4 linked regions of the Saccharomyces cerevisiae S288C genome follow. The protein of the gene in region 2 interacts with the protein of the main gene of each other region in a biochemical or structural test. Each region holds a gene or a part of one and is shown on either strand. Other genes may lie near its edges.

Region 1 (5,268 bases), on a different chromosome or scaffold from region 2:
TAGGTTAGTTTCAGCGGAAGACCCGTTTGAGGAATTTCTGTTCCTCTCATTTGAATTTGGCGGAGGTAAAGGGAATGCTGCTACTTCTGGATCTCGTCGTACTAAATCTAAAATTGAATCCTCTAGATCTCTATGTGATTCCTGATGGAAATTGTCATCTCTAGCATCTTCAAAGACTTGTTTACCATCAGTACTACTTGAATTTGTATCTCCTTTGAGGATTTCACTATACTTGCTATCATCAATATAAACATTGTATGACTTCACTTCTGATGATGGAAATGAATCAGATCCTTCGATGAACAGCGAACCAGATCTTATTCTTGCTCGCGGTTGATGGAATATTGGGTGGTCGTTCTCAGGTAAAGATGCGGATGAAGCCGTTGCCGATCCAGATGTGGATTTTGAATTTTCTGTCGTTATCGAAACATCTCTGGTTATTTTCGTCATTTCATAGGATGAAGAATGAAATTGTTGTAAAAAAAAAGGTAGTGAACGTATAAAGTTGGATGCTGTCTTCGAAAAAAAAAATAAGGTGTTAAATGAGTGGATGGTTTGGTATGCCTAAGCAAAAAGCTTTAGAAATCAAATTGAAAAATAAAATCGAGGGGAAGCTGGAGATAAAAGTAAGGCAAATGTCAGATAAATAGTTGCAAGGTGAGAGTGTACTATAATCTTTAGTAGTTGTTGTATGGTGATCCTTCGTCACCGTTAAGAAATGGAGGACAATTAAATGGAATACTCTGGGACGTTACAAGGAATAATAGTATGCTAGAATGAAAAAAATAATGGAGTCCTTCTACGTGTCAATGTACGTATGTGGCAATTAAGATAAAACTTTATAACTATACCTTAACTATTCTTGCATATATAATAATGCGAGATAAAAAATCACCAACTTTCTCCCTTTTAGAGAAATTAGCTTTTAGACTACCTTGGCTGGGTATTAGTTGTGAATATTTGGTAAATATGGTCAACTAGAAAACGAATGCGAACATCTAGCCAGGAATAAACAAACCCAGTAAACAAAACTTCTACTTAATACTTAAGAATAGAAAGCACAATGCCAAGACTTACTTGGGAGCCCATTCACTGTTGAATAGTGCTGGATAAAAGGTGTTGATATCGCCTCTTTGATTACAGTCGCGTCAGCTCTCCAAGCACACGCGATGGCTGGTTTTTCTCTGCATTTCCCGTTTAGGCAAAGCAGTGAAGAGGCTCATGAAGCCGCATTTCGTGTACTTCTGCTGGCGAAAAAAAAAAACTTGTTGCCGTGGCGCCATTTCGTTCCTTGCATTTTTCCATTGGCATGCATCGTGCATATGTGAGTTGAAGTTTCTTACTTACATATTGACCTACAGACCACAACGTGTCACTGCTAAGCTGAATATAGGGAAATTTTAGAAGTATGGCAGAAATGTTCTTGTGAATACTATTCCATGGTCTTCATTAGTTCATCGTAAAGCATGTCTTTGAGCATTTCTATGGGCACTTCTTCCTCCTCTTCCGGACGCATTATCTTGTTATCCAGTTTCCAAAATTCATCATCCAAATTAAGTGGAGGATATTCCGGCTCATCACTTGGGTCATGGTACATTGCCAGGTAAGGGTGTCTTAAAGCTTCTGCTGCGCTTATTCTTTTGTCAGGATTGAATTGAAGCATTTTGTCTAGTAAATCTATCATATCTGGATTCAGATCGGTCTTTGACCAGACGGTCTCCCATGGCAAGGGTGGCCTCATAGGTAAGTTTGCTATATACTCTTTAGCCCTCTTGGATTTGATCTGATTAAAGTCTTCGAAAGATGGAGTTCCCAAGACTTCTAGAATTAGCCATAATTGATGATGATAGTCTCTGCCTGGGAACAAAGGCTTCCCGGAGACCATTTCAGCCAAAATGCATCCGCATGACCATATATCCATCGCAGTTGTGTACTCTTGAAAAGTTAGCATTATCTCGGGTGCCCTGTACCATCGCGTTGCGACGTACTCCGTCATGAATCCTACCAATGTTTCTCTTGAATCGCTACTGCTAGCTAAACACCTCGCTAGTCCAAAATCGCAGACTTTGAGATCACAATTGGAATTTAGTAACAGGTTTGATGGCTTTATGTCTCTATGGATAACTTGTGCACTGTGAATAGACTTTAAGGCTCTGAGGATTTGGTATGTAAAGTATTGAACATGGTCATCACTTAAAGTGGAAAACCCGCTATTCTGATTATTAATTACTTTTTGTAAATCGGTTTCCATCAACTCTTCGACTAAATAAACAGCGTTTAGTTTGTCTATGGATACTGGCCTTACTTTATCCAATATACTTATTATGTTTTCGTGTTCATGGAAATACCGTAAAAGCTTGATCTCACGTATAGTTCTTGTAACAAACAATTTTTTGCTAAACGGTTGTATTTTCTTGATAGCTACCTTTATGCCGGAAGGCTTATGAATTGCTGAACATACTGTTCCGTACGCTCCCTCACCTATTAAATCTACGAGTTTATATTGGGAAGGGATATCAAAAGTTATGGTTCTAGCCATCTTTGAATTGTTGAAAGAAAAGTGAAGAAAAGATACTTTTTTGTTGAAATAACCTTTTCTATCTTTAAAAGATGCTTTCTTTAAATTGCCAAATTTTTAGTCGGCTTTTGATCTGATCCAGTGGAAAAGAGGAAAAGAAAAAAAAATACGAAAACAGTTCGGGAAATTTAACGACTGCAAAGCACAATATGTAACTGTTCAAGTCTGGCTTCTGGTCAGATAAAGTGCAATATCTACAGATTGGAAGTACTTTGGGTGTCTTAATAAAAATACATTATATATAGAAATATGCCTCGATCTGTAAATTTCTAACAGCTTCACAGCGCGTTTTGAATGTGAAAAAATCAGGAATGTGGAGGAAAGATGTTCAAAAAGTTCGAATTTGAAGAGCATACTGCTCAAACGGTTGAGGAATTCAAGGTAATCTGAGGCTTCATACATAATAAGTAGCCAATCTTTCTTTCCCCCAAGTAAGTAGCTCAGTATTACTAAGCCGGTAAAAAATAACATCTTTCATTTCTTTCACCAAGGGGAAATAGTAATATACTCATATTTTGGCTGGACTCTCGTAATCTGTCAAATTTTTTTCGTGCCGATTTCTAACTTAAATTTAGTAAATAATGTTAGTATTTACTTTTCAATTGTAGATCTACCTAGTTTCAAGATTATGTAGAAAAGAATGACAAAACATAAATACTGTTGGAATAAAAATCAACTATCATCTACTAACTAGTATTTACGTTACTAGTATATTATCATATACGGTGTTAGAAGATGACGCAAATGATGAAAAATAGTCATCTAAATTAGTGGAAGCTGAAACGCAAGGATTGATAATGTAATAGGATCAATGAATATTAACATATAAAATGATGATAATAATATTTATAGAATTGTGTAGAATTGCAGATTCCCTTTTATGGATTCCTAAATCCTCGAGGAGAACTTCTAGTATATCTACATACCTAATATTATCGCCTTATAAAAAATGGAATCCCAACAATTACATCAAAATCCACATTCTCTTCATGGTAGCGCCTATGCTTCGGTTACTTCTAAGGAAGTCCCATAAAATCAAGATCCGTTAGCCGTTTCAGCTTCCAATTTACCGGAATTTGATAGAGATTCCACTAAGGTTAATTCTCAACAAGAGACAACACCTGGGACATCAGCTGTTCCAGAGAACCATCATCATGTCTCTCCTCAACCTGCTTCAGTACCACCTCCACAGAATGGACAGTACCAACAGCACGGCATGATGACCCCAAACAAAGCTATGGCCTCTAACTGGGCACATTACCAACAACCATCTATGATGACGTGTTCACATTATCAAACGTCACCTGCGTATTATCAACCGGACCCACACTATCCGTTGCCACAGTATATCCCACCACTGAGTACTTCCTCACCTGATCCAATCGATTTAAAAAATCAACACTCTGAAATACCTCAAGCTAAGACAAAGGTGGGAAATAACGTCTTACCACCACACACTTTAACATCAGAAGAAAACTTTTCTACATGGGTTAAATTTTACATCAGATTTTTGAAGAACTCTAATCTCGGTGACATCATTCCAAATGACCAGGGTGAAATCAAAAGACAAATGACTTATGAAGAACATGCGTATATATACAATACCTTCCAAGCATTTGCCCCATTTCATTTATTGCCAACATGGGTAAAACAAATTTTAGAAATTAATTATGCTGACATCCTTACAGTCCTTTGTAAAAGTGTGTCCAAAATGCAAACTAACAATCAAGAATTAAAGGATTGGATAGCTCTTGCCAACCTTGAGTACGACGGAAGTACATCTGCTGATACATTTGAAATTACAGTCAGTACGATCATTCAGAGGCTAAAAGAAAACAATATCAATGTTAGCGACAGATTGGCCTGTCAACTAATACTTAAAGGTCTATCCGGTGACTTCAAATACCTACGTAATCAATATCGTACCAAAACGAACATGAAACTTTCCCAATTATTCGCTGAAATTCAATTAATATATGACGAAAATAAAATCATGAATCTAAATAAACCGTCCCAATACAAACAACACAGCGAATACAAAAATGTTTCTCGCACATCTCCAAACACGACTAACACAAAGGTTACAACTCGTAATTATCATAGAACAAATAGTTCAAAACCAAGAGCAGCAAAAGCTCACAATATTGCTACATCTAGTAAATTCTCAAGGGTGAACAATGATCACATTAATGAATCAACCGTTTCATCACAATACTTAAGCGATGACGACGAACTTAGTCTTAGGCCAGCAACAGAAAGAATCTAAGCCAACACACACAATAGACTCGAATGACGAACTACCTGATCACCTTCTTATTGATTCAGGAGCTTCGCAAACGCTTGTCAGATCAGCCCATTATTTACACCATGCAACACCCAATTCTGAAATAAACATAGTCGATGCTCAAAAACAAGACATTCCTATAAATGCCATTGGTAATCTTCACTTCAACTTTCAGAACGGCACCAAAACATCAATAAAAGCACTACACACACCAAACATAGCCTATGATCTATTAAGTTTGAGTGAGCTGGCTAATCAAAATATTACTGCCTGCTTTACCAGAAACACTTTAGAAAGATCGGATGGTACAGTACTAGCTCCCATAGTCAAACATGGAGACTTTTACTGGTTATCTAAAAAATACCTAATTCCTTCGCACATTTCAAAGCTAACAATAAACAACGTC
Region 2 (7,151 bases):
AACCTTATCCCTTAGACACAAATGATCACATCGAGTGGATGAACTGTCAAACGACCCAAAGTGAATATGATTCCAGAGATTTCTATGCTTTCCATTGTTTTCATAGAAGGATTGATCAAATACTAAAAACGGACAATGTGATTGACCTAACTGAGGTGAAAGATATATATCAAGGAACAAGGACTGATTACGAAGCAGACAAAATAAAATATGGGGTTTACAAGGAAGCTAGTGAAATCTTTTGGCATAGAAACTACGAGATTGATGATGTTTCACGGTCCGTAATAAATATAGAAACCTCAAATGGACTCCTCTTGAAGCTGCTTGCTACATCAGCAACAGTTGCTGAAGAGTGGGTCATAAAGCTGAAACAAATGATATCCTATTGGAAAAACAAGCAAAGGGAAGATACGGAGAGGCTTTTAAAAATAAGGCGTTCAAATGCAGGTCTTTTGATGCTAAATGGAGAAGAGGAAACAAAAATTGGTGAGAATACATTGCGCTGGATCGTAGAACATGGGCGTGCAGATGAGCAAACCTTTAATGCAAATGGAATATCATTAAGTAGGCCGTTAATTCAAAAGGGACCTTTATATCAAAAGCCGCACAAGCATTCTGTTTTCTCGAAGTACTACGTCGTTTTGATATCAGGTTTTATTGTACTGTTCCACTGCTTTCATAGATCAACCACAGGTTTTGCTAAGGAAGTTTTGGAGTATGCTCATTATGTAACCATTCCGATTGACGATTGCTACCTATACTCTGGGACCACAACAGAACTAGACCTTCTGCAGAGAGATCGTACTTTTGACGAAATAAACTATGGATCCCACGCTCTCCCACGAGTTTATGGGGACGGATGGCGATCTGTAGAAGACGAGAGTTCGCGATGCTTTACGCTTTGGTTTGGAACAAGGCGTGCCCTTTCTAGCAATCGCTTACAGAAGAAAGGGAATGAAAAGCAATATACGCAAGATTATGGTAGACAAGATAATAATATTGACCCACCTTCTGCTCCGGAAGCTGACTTGAATAACTCTAATGTTCCAAGTAACACAGATAAGATCCATTTCACTAAAAAGTTAGGTGTGAGCGGCAAGTCAATGGTTTTCATGGCAAGATCAAGACAGGAAAGAGATCTTTGGGTAATGTCTATTTACTATGAACTTGAAAGACTAAGAAGAACTGCGTCCACTTCAAATTCACGGAATCAAACTATGTAACAATATGTAGTTACGAAACGTTTGGCGGGATGCTTTCTTTTTATTATTGCATAAAATTTAGTGTATACTCTATATATAATCCATATGGAGGGGACAGTTGTTATTACCGCTCTCTATAAGACTCGAGAATGAACTGCGTCTGGTTATGCCATCGATTCCTTTATCCATATCACTAAGTAATAATACTGGCATATCATTTTCATTTTCATTTTCATTAGTACCTTCCTCCTCAGAATGAAGTGAAAATCTAATATTAGGAATCAGAGCTGGCTGTACTGAAGAAGCGACAGTTTCTAAGTTTTCTATATTGCTATGTTCACCCTCAGTGAGAAGGTTTCTGTCATTCACCATATTTGCGGTAGCATTTTCATTATCAAATGGAGAATCAATATGAATAGTAGTTGTAGATTCAGCATCCGACAGTGATCCTGAACTATTATCAAGTTCATTATCGGTCGAATCATCATTATCCTCTTCGTCATCGTCATCATGTTCATCAAAACTTAGACCGAAACTGTAGCAAAGAGTTTCTAAAACAAAAGTCCAGGAGCTGGCCTCGACTAGTTCATCAATTTTATCACTGTAGTCAACGTTCAAATAGCCCACCTTAATCTTCAATTCATTGGGCCTTCTTCTTCCAAAACTTGTAAAGCATCTGTAATCTTGAAATAGTATGGATTTTTTTGCTTCCATATTACTATTTGATACAGCAACAATACCCAAATGTTCATGAATATTTTCGGGATATAGAGTATTTTTCAACCAAATAGGTGAAAATTGTGTCGAGGAACTCTTTGATTTGAGATTTGAGATGGAATCTAGTGAATCTATCTTGTGTAATACCGATCCATAGTCCAGAACATAATTATTTCGATCAACGAAACAAAACTGCAAACGCGCAAATTTAATGGTTAAAGCTTTTAGACTGTTATAAACAACAATTAAACTGTCTTCTTCCTTCAATTTCGTAAAATCGATCTGTAAGATTATTGCCAAATTATCAGGTTTTTCTCGTTTAAGGGAAAGAATTGAGCTTATCGTGGTTAGAACAGATTGTATACTGTCGACAGTACTCTGCCTAGAACATTCTCCTGAATTTAAGGTGAATCCCCTCCTTATGATTACAGTATCATTATCGTGCACATTTCCAACTTCAACAACTTTGTTAGGATTGATTAAACCTAGAAAGGTACTCGTCTCGTGCCTACCATTACCAACATCTTTTGAAAAGTTCTTTATAATGGGAAGAATAGGCAGGGTCGAAGTGATATTGTCCTCATTGAATACAAAATCCTGATTCAATATACCTGATATCCATTTCTGTACAGTTGTGCTTTCGTCAGAATTTATATTCTGAACAATGTAAAGATCTGATAAATCGGCGCAATGTTGTTTATTTAAGGTGCATTTGAGTACTGAAGCTTCGAGTGTAGTCATTCTCAAGTTGGCAATAGGTGTAAATACTTCTAAATTCTTTAGTCTAATTTCCAAAACATCAACATCGTTATCCACTTCTGCTATTACAAATGCGTCTTCAAATAAGAAACACCAGCATTGTATATATCTCTGACCATCTTTGGAAATCATCAATTTGTCTACCAACCTTAGTAATCCATAGTCCCCGTCTATTCTCCAATCCTGCAATTCTTCCTGGAAATTGTTCAAAAGAATTTGAATAAAATATGACCTTAACAGCGGCAACGTTGTTTTGGTTTCGTCATCCTTTGCTCTTACCGAATTGGAAACAGCAGAAATAGAATCATTAGCTGACAACGCTACAGAGGTGTCTGCTAAGATAGAGTTTGCTCCGGACGGAATTCTTCTGTGCCCCAGGGGTGAATGTAAAAATGTATAGTTTGATTTTTTTTGTGGAATTTGGTTTCTTTCCTTGGGGGGTGCAGCCAATATGAGATTTGGGTTTAGACTTGGAGCTTGAGAATATATCGTTTGTCTTTCAACAGGTGTATAGGATAACCCAAAAGGAGGCAAGAGTGGTGAATAAGGAGGAAAGCGGGACTGAGGTGTGATTGATAACTCAGAATCAGGAATCTTATGAATCAAAAAATCAGAAATTAGAATATCCTTTAGTTCATCATTTTCTGGAATGCATTGAACGGCTTTGTTAGTATCTTTTTTACATTTGGTACAAAAAGGAAATAGCGCACGAACGTCTGCCTTTGAAGTGGTGCCAAAAGAGATAATAAGACATTCTTGGTGACTTAAGTGGCCACATGCAAGCTCTATAATTTTCTCTCCCTTTCTTCTGTTAGAAATAGGCTCGTCACATAACGTACAAGAAGCATTCAAAAAGGATTTTTTAATAGAGGTTCTTTGTATTGGATAGCCAAATGGAGCGACCTTGGGTGGTATATTATCTGATAAATTTTCGGCCCTTGGGGGCTCATTTGCTCGGGATAGGTTACTATTACTTGCGTGAAAGAGATTGGAATTAGGTCTTGGCAAAGACGATGTTCTGTGAGGGTGTTGTGGCAAATAATCAGTGGAAACCGTAGAAGGTGTATTCATTAGGTTACCGTCTTCATTGCCAGAAGAGTTTGAAGAAGTGACCCTAGATTTGGGTGAGAACGAAAATGTAGAGGAGGAAATAGGAGAAGGTGAGAATCTTTTCTTTTTAGCACTACTTCTTTGGAACCTGGCTAACTTTTCCGTCCATTTTTTTCCTCTTGACAATGGGGATAGAGTACTGGGCTTCTCTAGCTCTATTATTTGGTTGGGAGTTCTCGACAAGGTACCACTATATTGTGTCGAGCTACCAAAATTGTGAAAAGGGGAAACTATATTGTCTGTAGGAGTTTCCATCATTTAAAAGTTGTTTCCGCTGTATCCTGTATCTTCCTTTTTTAGCGCGGATGCTAGATGGGTTAAAACAGTTTTAAAATATTTTCAAATTACTTTTTTATGCCTTTCTTTTGTCGTCAACTTTTCGAGGAAATTCTCGGTATTTTCTTTAGCTACTATCGCCTTTCATATTTTGATGCAGAAAAGTACATGATGTGTAAATTAACAAGCTACATATCGCCGCACCCAAAAAAAAAAAAGAAAAGAAGGGAAATTGTTCAAAATTATGACAGGTTACCTATGGACATGTGTCGTCTAATCACTACCTTTATATTTTTTAATTAATTCATGTGCACAGGCCTGCTTTCTACTATTGAGCAATACGCCTTCTAAATGACTCTCCTACTTCAAAAATGTATCAGAGTAGAACTGCGGAAAGATCCAATATTTAACGCTTCTTCTTCACTCGAAATATTTCTGTCAGTTTTAGAATCTGTTATATATCCCTTTAAAGGAAACTTGATACTTCTAGATTTTCATCTTGTCGATGTTCAAACAACGTGTTATCAGAGAAACAGCTCTATGAGAAATCAGCTGATGTCAGTATTCTGTCAGTCACTTCGTGAATTTACATTGACTGCTCTTTCGTGCAATTCATACTGTATTATTATAGTTGCAACTAGATGGCAAAAAATTGATAATGCCCTAAAAATGACAGGCCGGTAACCCTAAGCTTTTTTTTACCCGGAGAGGGTCATGCCTCTGTGAAGCTTTTTTTGCTTTCTGAAAAAATTTTACCGAAGTAAAGAAAAATTTCAGCAGAAGAGATGAGATGAGCTAAAGCATCGTGTTATTCAAAATACTTTTAAGAAAAAACCCGACCCGACTAATATTGCTAAAACTATCATGGCTCTAGCTATCTCCCACGAGGATACTCAGATTTTGCTAAAGGACAAAAATATTCTACAGGAATCGGTCTTGAACAAATACAGAACTGCTGGACAAATCGCACAAACTGCTTTGAAATATGTTACTTCTTTGATCAATGATTCATATCACTCTAAGACCACACAGCGCCAATTAACCGTGCCAGAGCTATGTTTGCTTACCGATTCTTTTATTTTGACCCGGTTGGAACAATATTATAAAAACAAAGTTAATGAAAGAGGTATTGCCATTCCAACCACTATTGATATCGACCAAATTTCTGGTGGATGGTGCCCCGAAATAGATGATACTCAAAATTTGTTAAACTGGAATAAGGGGAAAGACTCCACTTTTGCATCATCTGTCACTGGGACTTTGAGACCGGGGGATTTAGTCAAGATTACACTAGGTGTTCATATTGATGGTTACACCTCTGAAGTTTCTCATACTATGGTTATTTACCCCGTTGATGAAACCAAACCTATTCTTCAACCCACTGGGCCACTACTAGGTGGTAAAGCGGATGCTGTAGCTGCTGCTCACATTGCTATGGAAACAGTTGTTGCTTTATTAGCCTGTGCTCTGACTCCAGAAAAGCTTCCTGCCTCACTGGGAGGAACTTCAAGTGGTATCACAGGCCAATTGATTAGAACTATAGTGGATACTATTGCCAGATCTTATAACTGTGGCGTTGTTCCTGGTTCTCGTGTAAGAAGGATTAGAAGATTCCTGGCAGGCCAAAACGAAGGTATTGTTGCCGAAAGGGAATATAAGGGTGTTGTTTGGACAGAGTCCCATCAAGAAGCAGATTTGCTATCTAATACTGATGCCAAGGATTTAACAGTGGTAGATCGTGGACAATCGACTCCATTCACTAATGTTTCTGCTATTCCAAGTGATGATTTCGTTGTTCAATCAGGTGAAGTGTATTTAATTGATTTGAAAATGGCATCTTTGGAGCATTGTACCAAAAAGGGTTTAGTAACTTTAGAAACCGTTGACTCTTACACAGGTAAATCTCATAAGGCTGGAGAATTGATTGCAAGACCCGGTGCATATGTTAGAGATTTTGCTCAAACCCATATTCTTAAATTAAAAACTTCTAGACAATTATTAACTAAAATCGATAAACAAGGCGTTTATCCATTCAAGTTATCTCATTTATCTTCTAACTTTCCTTTCGTTCACGAAAATGAAGAAGAACTCCAAAGCTTAAAGAAAGATTTGAAATCATTTAGACTTGGGATGAGTGAGATTTCCAACAACTACTTATGTGTGGAAAGTCCAATACAAATTGCTAGATGGGTTCCATGGGACCATATTTTAAAGGCTACCAATCCAAACGGTAATTTAAGTTATGATGCAACCTCTACATTAACATTACCTGGGCATGAGTTACCTTTACCAAAATTGGGTGTTTCAGCCATCAAGCTTAAATCCTTAATGAATTCAACCAAGGAATCGATTTCTTTACCAGTTGCTCGTGAATGTAATACCATCGTATTATGTGACTCTAGTGTAAGTACAACGGACAGACCCGAATTATTGAGATTAACTGGTGGTTCTAAGACCTGTCAACCGAGCTGGATTCACTCTCAGCACGAATTAAATCCACAAGATTCAATTGTTCAAGGGATCTTTCAATTAGCTACTTTGGCCAAGGATAAGAGGTTCGGTCTATTATTAAAGGAAACGCAGCCAATGAAGCAGAAGAGTGTTGAGACATCAAATGGCGGAGTTGAAGAAACCATGAAAATGTAGGAAACTTCATCATTTCTAAAGCTAGTATATAAATAATATAAGTATATCATAAAATGTAAAATAGAATATTATAAAAAAAGTCAACCTAGCTGTACTAAAACCGCTTGGTTCATTTGCTCAGAATCTTGCATTATAATTACATTTTATTTGCTATACAGATGAGATGGAAGATTAAATATCTCACGCCTGTTTCGCCATGCTTTTGTAACACCGGCGGATTGAGAGACATGGGCTTCTAATATTAAATCATGTCATCGTCATCGTCGATGTCATCATCACCAATTGACAAAGATGAGCCGGGTGCTCTGAAGTTAGCAGGTTCTTCCACAAACTGGGAAAAATGAAAAACAATAAAGGCAACCCCTAAAATAAAAGTAAACATTCCCGCCAATATGTTGTAGATACCGCCGAAGCTGATTATCAGACTTAGTAAAATATAAG
Region 3 (4,563 bases), on a different chromosome or scaffold from region 2:
TACAGGCGAATTGTGGTCCCCATAAAAACAAGCATTTTTCAAATATTTCAATATCATTTTTGATAGATGGCTTTATCTTATGAGAAAAATTGGTAACAGATTATTCATGTGAATGAAACTCTATGGATTATTTCCTTGCTTTTGTCTATCTACCTCCTTTTCCTAGAGCAGGTTATTGAGAAGATATCAATGGTTTGATATCACCTCGCAAAGAAAGGCCTGTTTCTTCGTGCTTCCATCTGTGCGGTCGGATTTTTTTATCAGAATTATCTTACTTGATTTTATTCCAGGGGTATGAGAATCAAATACCGTCATCTAGTTTGGTCTTTTTTTCACAATTGTGATTTATGATTACTTAATCAGCGTAATTGAAAAAAAAAAACCGGTAAATAGCAGATATATTCAATAAATGTCACTAAATATGATATATATGTATTATTTGATAAAAAATCGGCCAGAGCACTTTAGTGCCATAAAAAGAATTAATAAGTAGCCCTTTTTCAAATTATGTGTGCATCCAGCCATGGATGCTGCAGCAATTCAAGGGCACTAGGCCTGTATTGATAATCCAACTCAAATGCCTTTCTTAAGAAATTCTTTCCTTCTGACGTAGCCCAGGAAGGTATCTCGGGGGTCGTGTTTGTGCCTATTTTGAAGATCGCTTGCATTTGAGAAAAATCTGGGAAAGGATGCTTACCGGTAAACATTTCAATGACAACACATCCTGTAGACCATATATCCGCTTTAGCAGTAGTAGCGGTCTGTTTGACCACCTCTGGTGACATCCAGAATACGGAACCTTGCAAAGAAGCTCTCTTATTTTGTTTTTTATTCAAAGGTGATAATTTTTTTGAAATACCAAAATCAGTAATTTTTACGCAACCTTTGATATCAATCAAAATATTTGCACCCTTGATATCTCTGTGAATAATGTTCTTCTTATGCAAATACGCAACCCCAATCAGTATTTGCCTAGTGAAATTAGTAATCAGTGATTCCTCAAATGGACCGTAATTATTCAGCATGGAGGAAACCGAACCCCCAGGAACGTATTCAAGAAAAATATTTAAATTTCCGCCTTCTTGAGAAGCACCATAATAAGTAACAATGTTCTCATGATGTAACTCCTTCAATAAATTCATTTCATGCTGTAAAGCATCAACCATCTTTCTGTGAATATTTTGATTGGTTTTTGGATGACTTACCGCCCCAACATCTTCTATTTTCTCTTGTTGTTCCTCCTGCTCATTATTCTCATCAGAATTGGCTTGTTTATTGTTGTCTGTGGGAACACCAATGTTATTATTTTTTATCTCCACTTGCTTTACTGCCATTAGTTCACCAGTGTGAGCATTCATGCCCAAGTAAACACTCCCAAAACTGCCTGATCCAATGCAAGCACCTTTTAACCAATTCTTGGGCGTGGCAATTTTCGTCGGTAATGAAACAATGTCACTGTCCTCCCCAAAGAAATCGTGATCTTCTTCTTCACCAGACTCTACACTTAATAGTTCTAACTGGTTAGATATGGCATCATTATCTTCTGGCCTTTTATGGGCAAGCTTCGGAATTTTAGTTGTGTCAAGTTTACTGCTTAATCTTGTCTGATCTAATCCTTGTAATAGGGCCATATCAACAGCGTTTGAGTGTTTCAATAGTATGTCACCGATATTATTTGATTCTGCACTTAAAGGTCTTCTTTGAGCAATGCTTAGCCTTGCTGAATGGCGAAATGACTCTCTCATCGTCTTTTGCAACCGCTTCATGTCTGTATGAGGAAAATATCCGGCCAAATTGGTAGAAATAAATTCGCTAGGAGGCCTCTGATTAAAAATCTGTCTAATTCTGTCCTTTTCTGTGTTGTCGATCCGGAGTTTCCCTTCAGCATTGTTATGCGAAATCCCCTTGTTCTGTGCCAACAAATTTGACGAGGATGGCCCAACCTGGCTCAATGCACTCAACGTTCTTAGATATAGTTTTTTGGATGTGGATATAGCTTTATCACTTGGTGTTTGGTCTTTGGAAACAAAAATTAGCCTATTTTTCTCAACACGATCATTTGCGTGGCAAATAGTGACTAATTCCACGTCATATAGCAAATGCAGTACGTTCTTGGTATAATCTAAGACAAACACATCATAATCTTGGACCATTTTAGTTACTTCTCCATTGGAGTTTGTGGCTAATAATTCATGTGGCAATCTTCTGATTAGCCTTTTCTTAATAGAATCTGCATTAAAGCAACCATTTACATTAACTTTCTTAGCGGAACCATCGTTTAAGATAAATATAACACAGTGCTTTTCAGGAATCAATTCTGAATTCATCGATAGCGTAGCAGTGGATAGAGAGCTTACTTTTTCCATCAGGTTTTTCAATCTATTCACCTGTTCAATCCGTTTATCTCTCTGGAACGATTTTGACTTCCTTAAAATTTTGAGTCTGTCTCCTATTTTGTTTACACCCAAAGCAATGAGGATATCCTTGTCGAGATACTTAATTTCTTCTTCTGTGACAAGGTTGCACTGAATAAAGCTATCCAGGTATTGAGTGCATCCTATTTCCTCCAGAAATAACTGCACAAAAGGTAAATCGTTGGTCTTTTCGTCACCAATTAGTAAGTCAGTGCCCTCTGCTGTTTGTGTCTGTTCCATGTATATTTCGTCTACCGGTGATCTTATCATACTAGCTTTATTAAGTGGTCTCTCTTTATGCATGTGTGTAAATATGAATATTTTCTACTGTTTAAAGCCATCGCGGCGAAAGCTTTACACCTTAAAAGGCTTTTAATGCTAGCCTGATAACGAAAGGCATGGTGAGGACAGCATAAAGAAACTATAATGGCAGTTAGTAATAATAATAATAATAATAATAGTAAAGAACGCACCCAAAATATAAAAGAAGTGGAGGAAAAGTTGGGCGAGAATCCAAAGATTACTTTAAAAGGGGGAGGGAAAACTAAAATCATGGATTTTGAACAGTTACGCAAGCCCCATTGCGTAAGACCCAGTGCAAGATTTCCAGTTGAAGATACTGCCGGTGGTTTATTGAGAACGGGTGGCCACAGGCCTCAGATAAGTGATGAAGAAGTCTCTAAAAGGCACCATGAACAGTCTCATGGACAAGAAGATCATTAATAGTATTGTATATAGGACTTGCTCAGTTATATTTCATTTCTATTTCATAAGCTAGAAGGCTAACTTGTATAAAGCTGCGCAGAAAGTGTTTCCATTTTACGTATATTTAGATTTATATTTTGCCTTAGGTGCTTTTTGAATTTCAAATGGTTTAGTGTTGATCTTTTTCAAAAATTAATCTTTTTAGATCGCAGATACCTCTGATACAAGTTTTATACTTAAGTATCGAAGACCAGCACCGTGGTTAAAAATCTTAACATGATCCGGTTACCGAGGCTGTATCAAAGGTACCTATTATACTTGGTAGTTTTTGTAGTGATTGCCCTATTTTACTTCCTACAGGCGCCAAGAGTTGAAGAGCACATTGGTTTCGACCTTGCACTCCCGATATCACACGTTGATAATCTATGGTTCCAAAATAAAGGTCTAGAGGGATTCTCAAATGACGATAAGCTAGTTGTAAATATAGGCTATGACGAATGTTTTCATATTGGTCGTTTTTATGAAGGATGTTTTAATCGGCATGAACTTAAATCAACTTTAACTGATGGGCACCAATACTTACAAAGGAAAAGAATTCATAAAGACTTGAGAGGTTCCTTTGGACGCAGGTGGTTTGGAAAGTCAGAATACCTTTACTATGATGTGTTATACCCTGCTTTGGTGGACTACTTTGGATCCAACCTAGAAAAGCTAAATGTTGAGGCAGTAACTGGAATTTCCAAATATCCTAAAGACAAATCGCTACCCTTTATGGATGTATCCATCACATTCGAGCCTATTAGCATAGAACTATTGCAGAAAAGGAGCTACATAAGCGATATTAACATTCTCTTTGGTGTTGATTGCATCCAGCCGATAGCAAATTGGACTCTTCAAAAAGAATTTCCCTTAGTAAAATACCGCTACAGCGAACCTGCTTATTTGACTTACAAATTCGTTGGTACTCGTCCTGTAGACACAGGAGCTCAACGGCTGCAAGAAACTGATGAAGGAAAGTTCAAAATTGTTCAGTTGGCGGATCTCCACTTGGGTGTGGGGGAGTCTGAATGTATCGATGAGTATCCAAAGCATGAAGCTTGCAAGGCAGATCCAAAAACGGAAACTTTCGTTCAACAAGTTCTTGACATTGAAAAACCGCAGTTGGTTGTTTTTACTGGTGACCAAATCATGGGTGATAGATCTATTCAAGACTCTGAAACCGTATTATTAAAGGCGGTAGCACCCGTCATTGCAAGAAAAATTCCGTGGGCAATGGTATGGGGAAATCACGACGACGAGGGAAGCTTAACGCGCTGGCAGTTATCCGAAATAGCTTCAGTACTACCATATTCCCTTTTCAAGTTTAGTCCCCATGATACACACGATAATACGTTTGGCGTTGGTAATTATATTTATCAGATTTTTTCGAACAATGATACAGAAG
Region 4 (5,760 bases), 490 kb from region 2:
TTCGTCCATCCCCGTAACGTCACCCTGTCTCTTTTTTATTTCTTCAAAGAAATCACCAGAAGAAAAGTTTCCGTTATTAAACCTCTTGAATTTCTCTAAAAGGGCACTTTCGTCTTCATCCTTGATCAGATCACTTAATTTCACATCTCCTATTACAGGTTTCTCCTTTATTGCGTCTATAAAATTCTTATCCTGGCCATCTGGAGAACCCATTTTAAGCAACTGATTATCGTTCACATTGGGTATTCCTTTCACATCGTCTGCAGACTCACCCCTTAGCCTTCTTGATCTTCGTGTAGGTAAAGTGGGACTCGCAGACTTGGTTGCTCTGGTATTAGTTGTTTTTTGTTTCTTTTTTGCAGGAGCTCTAGATTTTTCCAACACCCCAGCCTCGTGCTTAATTTGAGATGCTACTCCAGACAAATGGAGTTTTTTCAATAAATCGTTATTCCTTTTGATGTTCTCTAAACGTTTTTTCTGAAATTCTGTTAATTCCGGCATTCTTGACTGAAAAGCAGCTTTCTTTTAATTGCCGTACTAAAATAGATCGCCTATTGTGTACTATTGACGACAAATGCAAGATTAAAGGGTTTTTATCTTCTCTTTAACAATTGTTCAAATATACATTTACCTCTTTTGGCGTTATTATAATTGTAACATGTCAGAAATTGAACATTAACAAAAAACGCGTAATATGGGGTCCTCGGGTGAAAAATTAACGATGGGCTTTTGAAAAAAGGTACGAGCATATAAAGCGAGTACAGTCATTGTGTGCCACCAAGTAGGAAACAAAACACCGCTTAGAGAGAAACAGCAAGTGGTGAAAAACAATGAGTAATATTTTGGCAGTGTTCAACCCTCCACCACAAAGGGAGCTGGAAAAAGAAGAGACTATGGATTGCGTTCCTTGTCAAGTCATGAGCACTATGTTTTCTGTTGGATTTGGCTCATACTTGGCATCTGGGAAACCATTCAAGTATGGTAAAAAAGAAGCCAAAAGAGGCATTTCTCTGACTGAATTTGAAAAAAGAAACCCACAATGGTGGAAAGTAACTTTACGTAGCTTCGGTGGGTTATTAATCGCCTTCGGTTTCGTTAGAGGAACCGAAGGTTGGTTGTGGCATAAAAATAAAGAATATAAGAACTATAAGAAATTAAGTAACGATGGTGAAACACAGGCTAACTAGTATTATTCGCAAGCTTCTCTCAATCGTGAAATTTTCTGTACATAAAGTGCTACTTTGATGATTATTTTTAAAAATATTGTTACATTAGAAAATTGGTTTGTGATTTACATAATCAGGAGAGTCTATATATATATGAATATAGCTTTGAGAAAGGGATGTGAAAAAAAGTGCAATATGTTCCTAACTAATGTTATCGCATGCATTCAATGGGTTGATCTTTCCGATTGTTTCTTTTCTAACTTGGCACGGTCCAAGGCTTCTCTTTTAATTCTCTTGTCTTCCTTTATTTTAGATTTTATTTTTCTACACCAATGTCTAAATTTATCATCTTTAGACGGTGATACGTATTTCATTATAAGATCATGATGTAGCAATTCATGAATCGATGACCTTTCCCTTTCATTCTTAATACAACACCTATTGACAAAATCTGTCATTTCCTTGGAATAGATACGGTCTTTGGGTAATCTTGGTGAAGGCTCGTTGACAATACGTTGCAGCAAATCCAATATGCCATCAGGTGTATCGTTATGCCCACCTAGGGGAAACTCTCCAGTTACCAGCTCGATGATCATTAAGCCCAATGACCAAACGTCCCCTTTGATAGAATAAACGTTTCCTTGTATCCTCTCTGGTGACATATAAGTGGACGTTCCAACAAATGTATCAGCGATAGAATTTATTAGTTTTTTGGAAACTCCAAAATCACATAACTTAATCTGCCCCTTACTATTAATCAGAACATTGGAAGGCTTGATATCACGATGAATGATCTTATATTGTCGGTACAAATGATCCAAGCCATTTAGTACGCCATACGCTATTTTTGATATTGTTAATTCGTTGAACCAGGTTTTCTTACTCGAAACAGTCCCTCTTTGAACAAACCTTTTATAAACGGACAGTATTTTATCTAAAGAACCACAATCAGAGTATTCCATTAAAATTATGATTTCATTATTTATATGCTGGTTATAATAAGCTCCATAGAAGGTGATAATGTTTTCATGGGGCTTAACGTTTTTGACGATAGATAATTCCCTAACTAATTGGTTGATGATTGTACTGTTATTCTGTTCCACAGGAATGGTTTTTTTGGCAACTATTTTGGAATCAGGAACATGTAGTGCCTTCACCACAGTTCCAGAATTTCCAGCACCAATTTTCCCCAACTGAACCAAGTCCTGGAGTTGTATATAATTACCATTTGAAGTTCCCGACAACGTATCTTTCAGATCTGCTGCGGCTGGCGATAGGCTTTCCTCCAAAGGTGGTAGTGATATCGAATGTTCGTTTTCAACTGGTGTTGCAATATTGGACAATCCCTGAATCGTAGAGGGAGTAGAATTCGTGGATGATGGCGATAATCCGAAATTATTACTGTACGCATCTATAATGCATGGCGTGGACAAAGATGATGATGATGATACACACGGGGATTGTGATAGAGAAGACAGAACTAAAACAGGTTCATTTTGCGGTTGCTGTATTACCACAGTGTTTGGTTTCGATATAGCTTGGTCATCACCAAACGCATCCAACGTCAGTTTTTTTTTTATGCCTCTTCGCAAAAACAGGTTGCTATTATTCTGTATTGCATTAATGTTAGACATCACGTGGCCTTCTATTCGAGATTGTCCCTGGTGAGTCTCTGTCTTTTCCTGCAATTGGCCATTATTGCCCACATCTGGGTGCAGGTTAAGATTGAGCCCTTTCAAGTTCCTTCTCTGTAAAGTCTTTCGTTGAAACATGACCAACAACCAATATACCACGCTGCAAAAACAGATATGATCCGATGCAGTTTTCTTATCATTAGTGTCGCTTCACATTAACCTGTAGGTCTTCTAATCCATCAGATGGGCCAATAATAGTATGATATCGCCGTTACCCCACGAATCACTTATAACGAGGACAGTGATCAAAAAAGGGAGGGAAAAAAATTTCGTAAGAAAAAGGACAACACAATCTTAGAACTAATGGGCGATTGTAACATTGGGGTTTGCAAGAAAAGACAATCATCAATAAAAGTGTTTATTATCTGATTGTACATTTATTTCTCATCATTGGATTCAGTTTTGTTTCATCCACATTCTTTTAAGACCACAAGCTTAATATTTTCATTCATAAAGGATTGTACGACAAAACAACAATAATAGTAAATATAGTCATATTTTATTCCTAATAGAAAGATAGACGCAGAAAATTCTTACTTTTAGCCCTTTTATTTCTTCATAACCGCATCGCCATTCGCATAATAACTTATCCCAGGCCTAAAATACGACAAGAAAGAAAATAGTAGTAATGGGTTCCATCAATAATAACTTCAACACTAATAATAACAGTAATACGGATCTCGATCGGGACTGGAAAACTGCATTGAATATTCCCAAGAAGGATACCAGACCACAGACAGATGATGTCTTAAATACAAAGGGTAATACTTTTGAAGATTTTTATTTGAAAAGAGAGCTGTTAATGGGTATTTTTGAAGCCGGTTTTGAAAAACCATCCCCTATTCAAGAAGAGGCTATTCCGGTAGCAATAACTGGTAGAGACATATTGGCCAGAGCAAAGAATGGTACAGGTAAGACAGCCGCATTTGTTATTCCTACGTTAGAGAAAGTCAAACCAAAGTTGAATAAAATTCAGGCTTTGATCATGGTTCCCACAAGAGAGTTAGCTCTGCAAACTTCCCAAGTCGTCCGTACATTGGGAAAACACTGTGGTATTTCATGTATGGTGACCACTGGTGGTACCAATTTGAGAGACGATATTCTAAGATTAAATGAAACAGTCCATATTTTGGTTGGTACTCCTGGTAGAGTGTTGGATTTAGCTTCGAGAAAAGTAGCAGATCTGTCTGATTGTTCATTATTCATCATGGACGAAGCCGATAAAATGTTATCTCGTGACTTCAAGACAATAATTGAACAAATCTTATCCTTCTTACCTCCAACTCACCAATCTTTATTATTTAGCGCTACTTTCCCACTAACGGTTAAGGAATTCATGGTTAAACATCTGCATAAGCCTTATGAAATTAATTTGATGGAAGAATTGACTCTAAAGGGTATTACTCAATACTACGCCTTTGTTGAAGAAAGACAAAAGCTACATTGTTTAAATACTTTATTCTCTAAGCTTCAAATTAATCAAGCCATTATTTTTTGTAATTCTACTAACCGTGTCGAATTACTAGCCAAGAAAATCACTGATTTAGGCTATTCCTGTTATTACTCTCATGCAAGAATGAAGCAACAAGAAAGAAATAAAGTTTTCCACGAATTTCGTCAAGGTAAGGTTCGTACATTGGTCTGCTCCGATTTATTGACCCGTGGTATCGATATTCAAGCCGTTAATGTCGTTATCAATTTCGATTTCCCCAAAACGGCAGAAACATATTTACATCGTATTGGTAGATCCGGTAGGTTTGGCCACTTGGGTTTAGCAATCAATTTGATTAACTGGAATGATCGGTTTAACCTTTATAAAATCGAACAAGAACTGGGCACTGAAATTGCGGCTATTCCGGCCACTATCGATAAGTCATTGTATGTGGCTGAAAATGACGAAACGGTACCTGTCCCATTCCCGATAGAGCAACAGAGCTATCATCAACAAGCGATACCTCAGCAACAATTACCATCTCAGCAACAATTTGCTATTCCTCCGCAGCAACATCATCCACAATTCATGGTTCCTCCTTCGCATCAGCAACAACAGGCGTATCCTCCACCGCAAATGCCATCGCAGCAGGGGTATCCTCCACAGCAGGAACATTTCATGGCGATGCCACCTGGTCAGTCACAACCCCAGTATTAAAGAATATCTAAGAAAAAATAACTACTGTGGTGAGATACGCTTTTTTTGTGATCTAATCGTCGATTATTTTTATCTTTTTTCAAATCTCCATTGTGAATTACATTACTTTGTAACCATACTTTTACTATTGATTTTGAACAAGAATCAGTCGTAATTTAATTTTTGTCTCTGCTTTTTTATTTTTTTATCCGTTTTCTCTAGTTTCTGTGCTGATTTTTTTATCCTCATTTGCGCACCGTTTTTATTACTATCACTTTGTTATTTCTTTTTGTTTCTCTAAAATTATCTCAAACCACTTCATTCTTTTACCAGTCATTGTTGTAACCAATACTACCGTCCATATCAAGAGCTCAAGTGCACTTGCCCAGTTTCATCGACACTTTCGCTTTTAGCTAACTTTTATTGTTATAATTTCCACAATAAACTATTCATTTCAACTGACAAGATGAAACTTTCTTTGAATATTCTTTCTTTTTTTGAGTTTTTTTTTTTTTAAAAGCTTTTTTTTTTTTTTTTTTATAGAGAGTAATCTCAAGGAAAGAATATTAATACTGTGTATATATATATATATATATACATATATATATAAAACTGTTTAGATAAATTAACCAACCAAAAAGATACATGTATTTTTATTATTTTTACCTATTATTTTTTACTTTGCTGCATCTTCATGTTTCCGGGAGACCAGAATTATCTTTCGGGCCAAAATATCAAAAATCAATCATACATAAAAGCGTGTTAGAATTTA

What was found.
Region 1: the proteins of STE5 (region 2) and KSS1 form a complex in vitro, tested with the Saccharomyces cerevisiae proteins (2 studies listed by BioGRID).
Region 3: the proteins of STE5 (region 2) and STE11 form a complex in vitro, tested with the Saccharomyces cerevisiae proteins (one study listed by BioGRID).
Region 4: the proteins of STE5 (region 2) and STE7 form a complex in vitro, tested with the Saccharomyces cerevisiae proteins (3 studies listed by BioGRID, with this or other methods).

The regions. Positions count from the first base shown.
Region 1 is NC_001139.9:572,669-577,936, reverse strand, and holds KSS1 (mitogen-activated serine/threonine-protein kinase KSS1), read right to left. Parts: upstream 2,540-5,268; coding exon 1,433-2,539; downstream 1-1,432. Other genes in the region: BUD9 (Bud9p), read right to left, coding at 1-450; YGR039W (uncharacterized protein), read right to left, coding at 2,738-3,049. UniProt on the Saccharomyces cerevisiae protein: Together with closely related FUS3, KSS1 is the final kinase in the signal transduction cascade regulating activation/repression of the mating and filamentation pathways, induced by pheromone and nitrogen/carbon limitation, respectively.
Region 2 is NC_001136.10:655,245-662,395, reverse strand, and holds STE5 (Ste5p), read right to left. Parts: upstream 4,047-7,151; coding exon 1,293-4,046; downstream 1-1,292. Other genes in the region: SPO71 (Spo71p), read left to right, coding at 1-1,223; YDR102C (uncharacterized protein), read left to right, coding at 4,416-4,748; ARX1 (putative hydrolase), read left to right, coding at 4,929-6,710; TVP15 (Tvp15p), read right to left, coding at 6,952-7,151. UniProt on the Saccharomyces cerevisiae protein: Component of the pheromone signal transduction pathway. It mediates pheromone signals acting between STE20 and STE11. It is absolutely required for pheromone-induced transcription of FUS1. May play a role in cell-cycle arrest in response to pheromone.
Region 3 is NC_001144.5:847,957-852,519, reverse strand, and holds STE11 (mitogen-activated protein kinase kinase kinase STE11), read right to left. Parts: upstream 2,655-4,563; coding exon 501-2,654; downstream 1-500. Other genes in the region: NMD4 (Nmd4p), read left to right, coding at 1-25; YLR361C-A (uncharacterized protein), read left to right, coding at 2,841-3,137; DCR2 (phosphoprotein phosphatase), read left to right, coding at 3,396-4,563. UniProt on the Saccharomyces cerevisiae protein: Serine/threonine protein kinase required for cell-type-specific transcription and signal transduction in yeast. It is thought that it phosphorylates the STE7 protein kinase which itself, phosphorylates the FUS3 and or KSS1 kinases.
Region 4 is NC_001136.10:169,659-175,418, reverse strand, and holds STE7 (mitogen-activated protein kinase kinase STE7), read right to left. Parts: upstream 2,939-5,760; coding exon 1,391-2,938; downstream 1-1,390. Other genes in the region: CMR1 (Cmr1p), read right to left, coding at 1-501; DMO2 (Dmo2p), read left to right, coding at 831-1,187; YDL159W-A (uncharacterized protein), read right to left, coding at 3,106-3,237; DExD/H-box ATP-dependent RNA helicase DHH1, read left to right, coding at 3,489-5,009. UniProt on the Saccharomyces cerevisiae protein: Serine/threonine protein kinase required for cell-type-specific transcription and signal transduction in yeast. It is thought that it is phosphorylated by the ste11 protein kinase and that it can phosphorylate the FUS3 and or KSS1 kinases.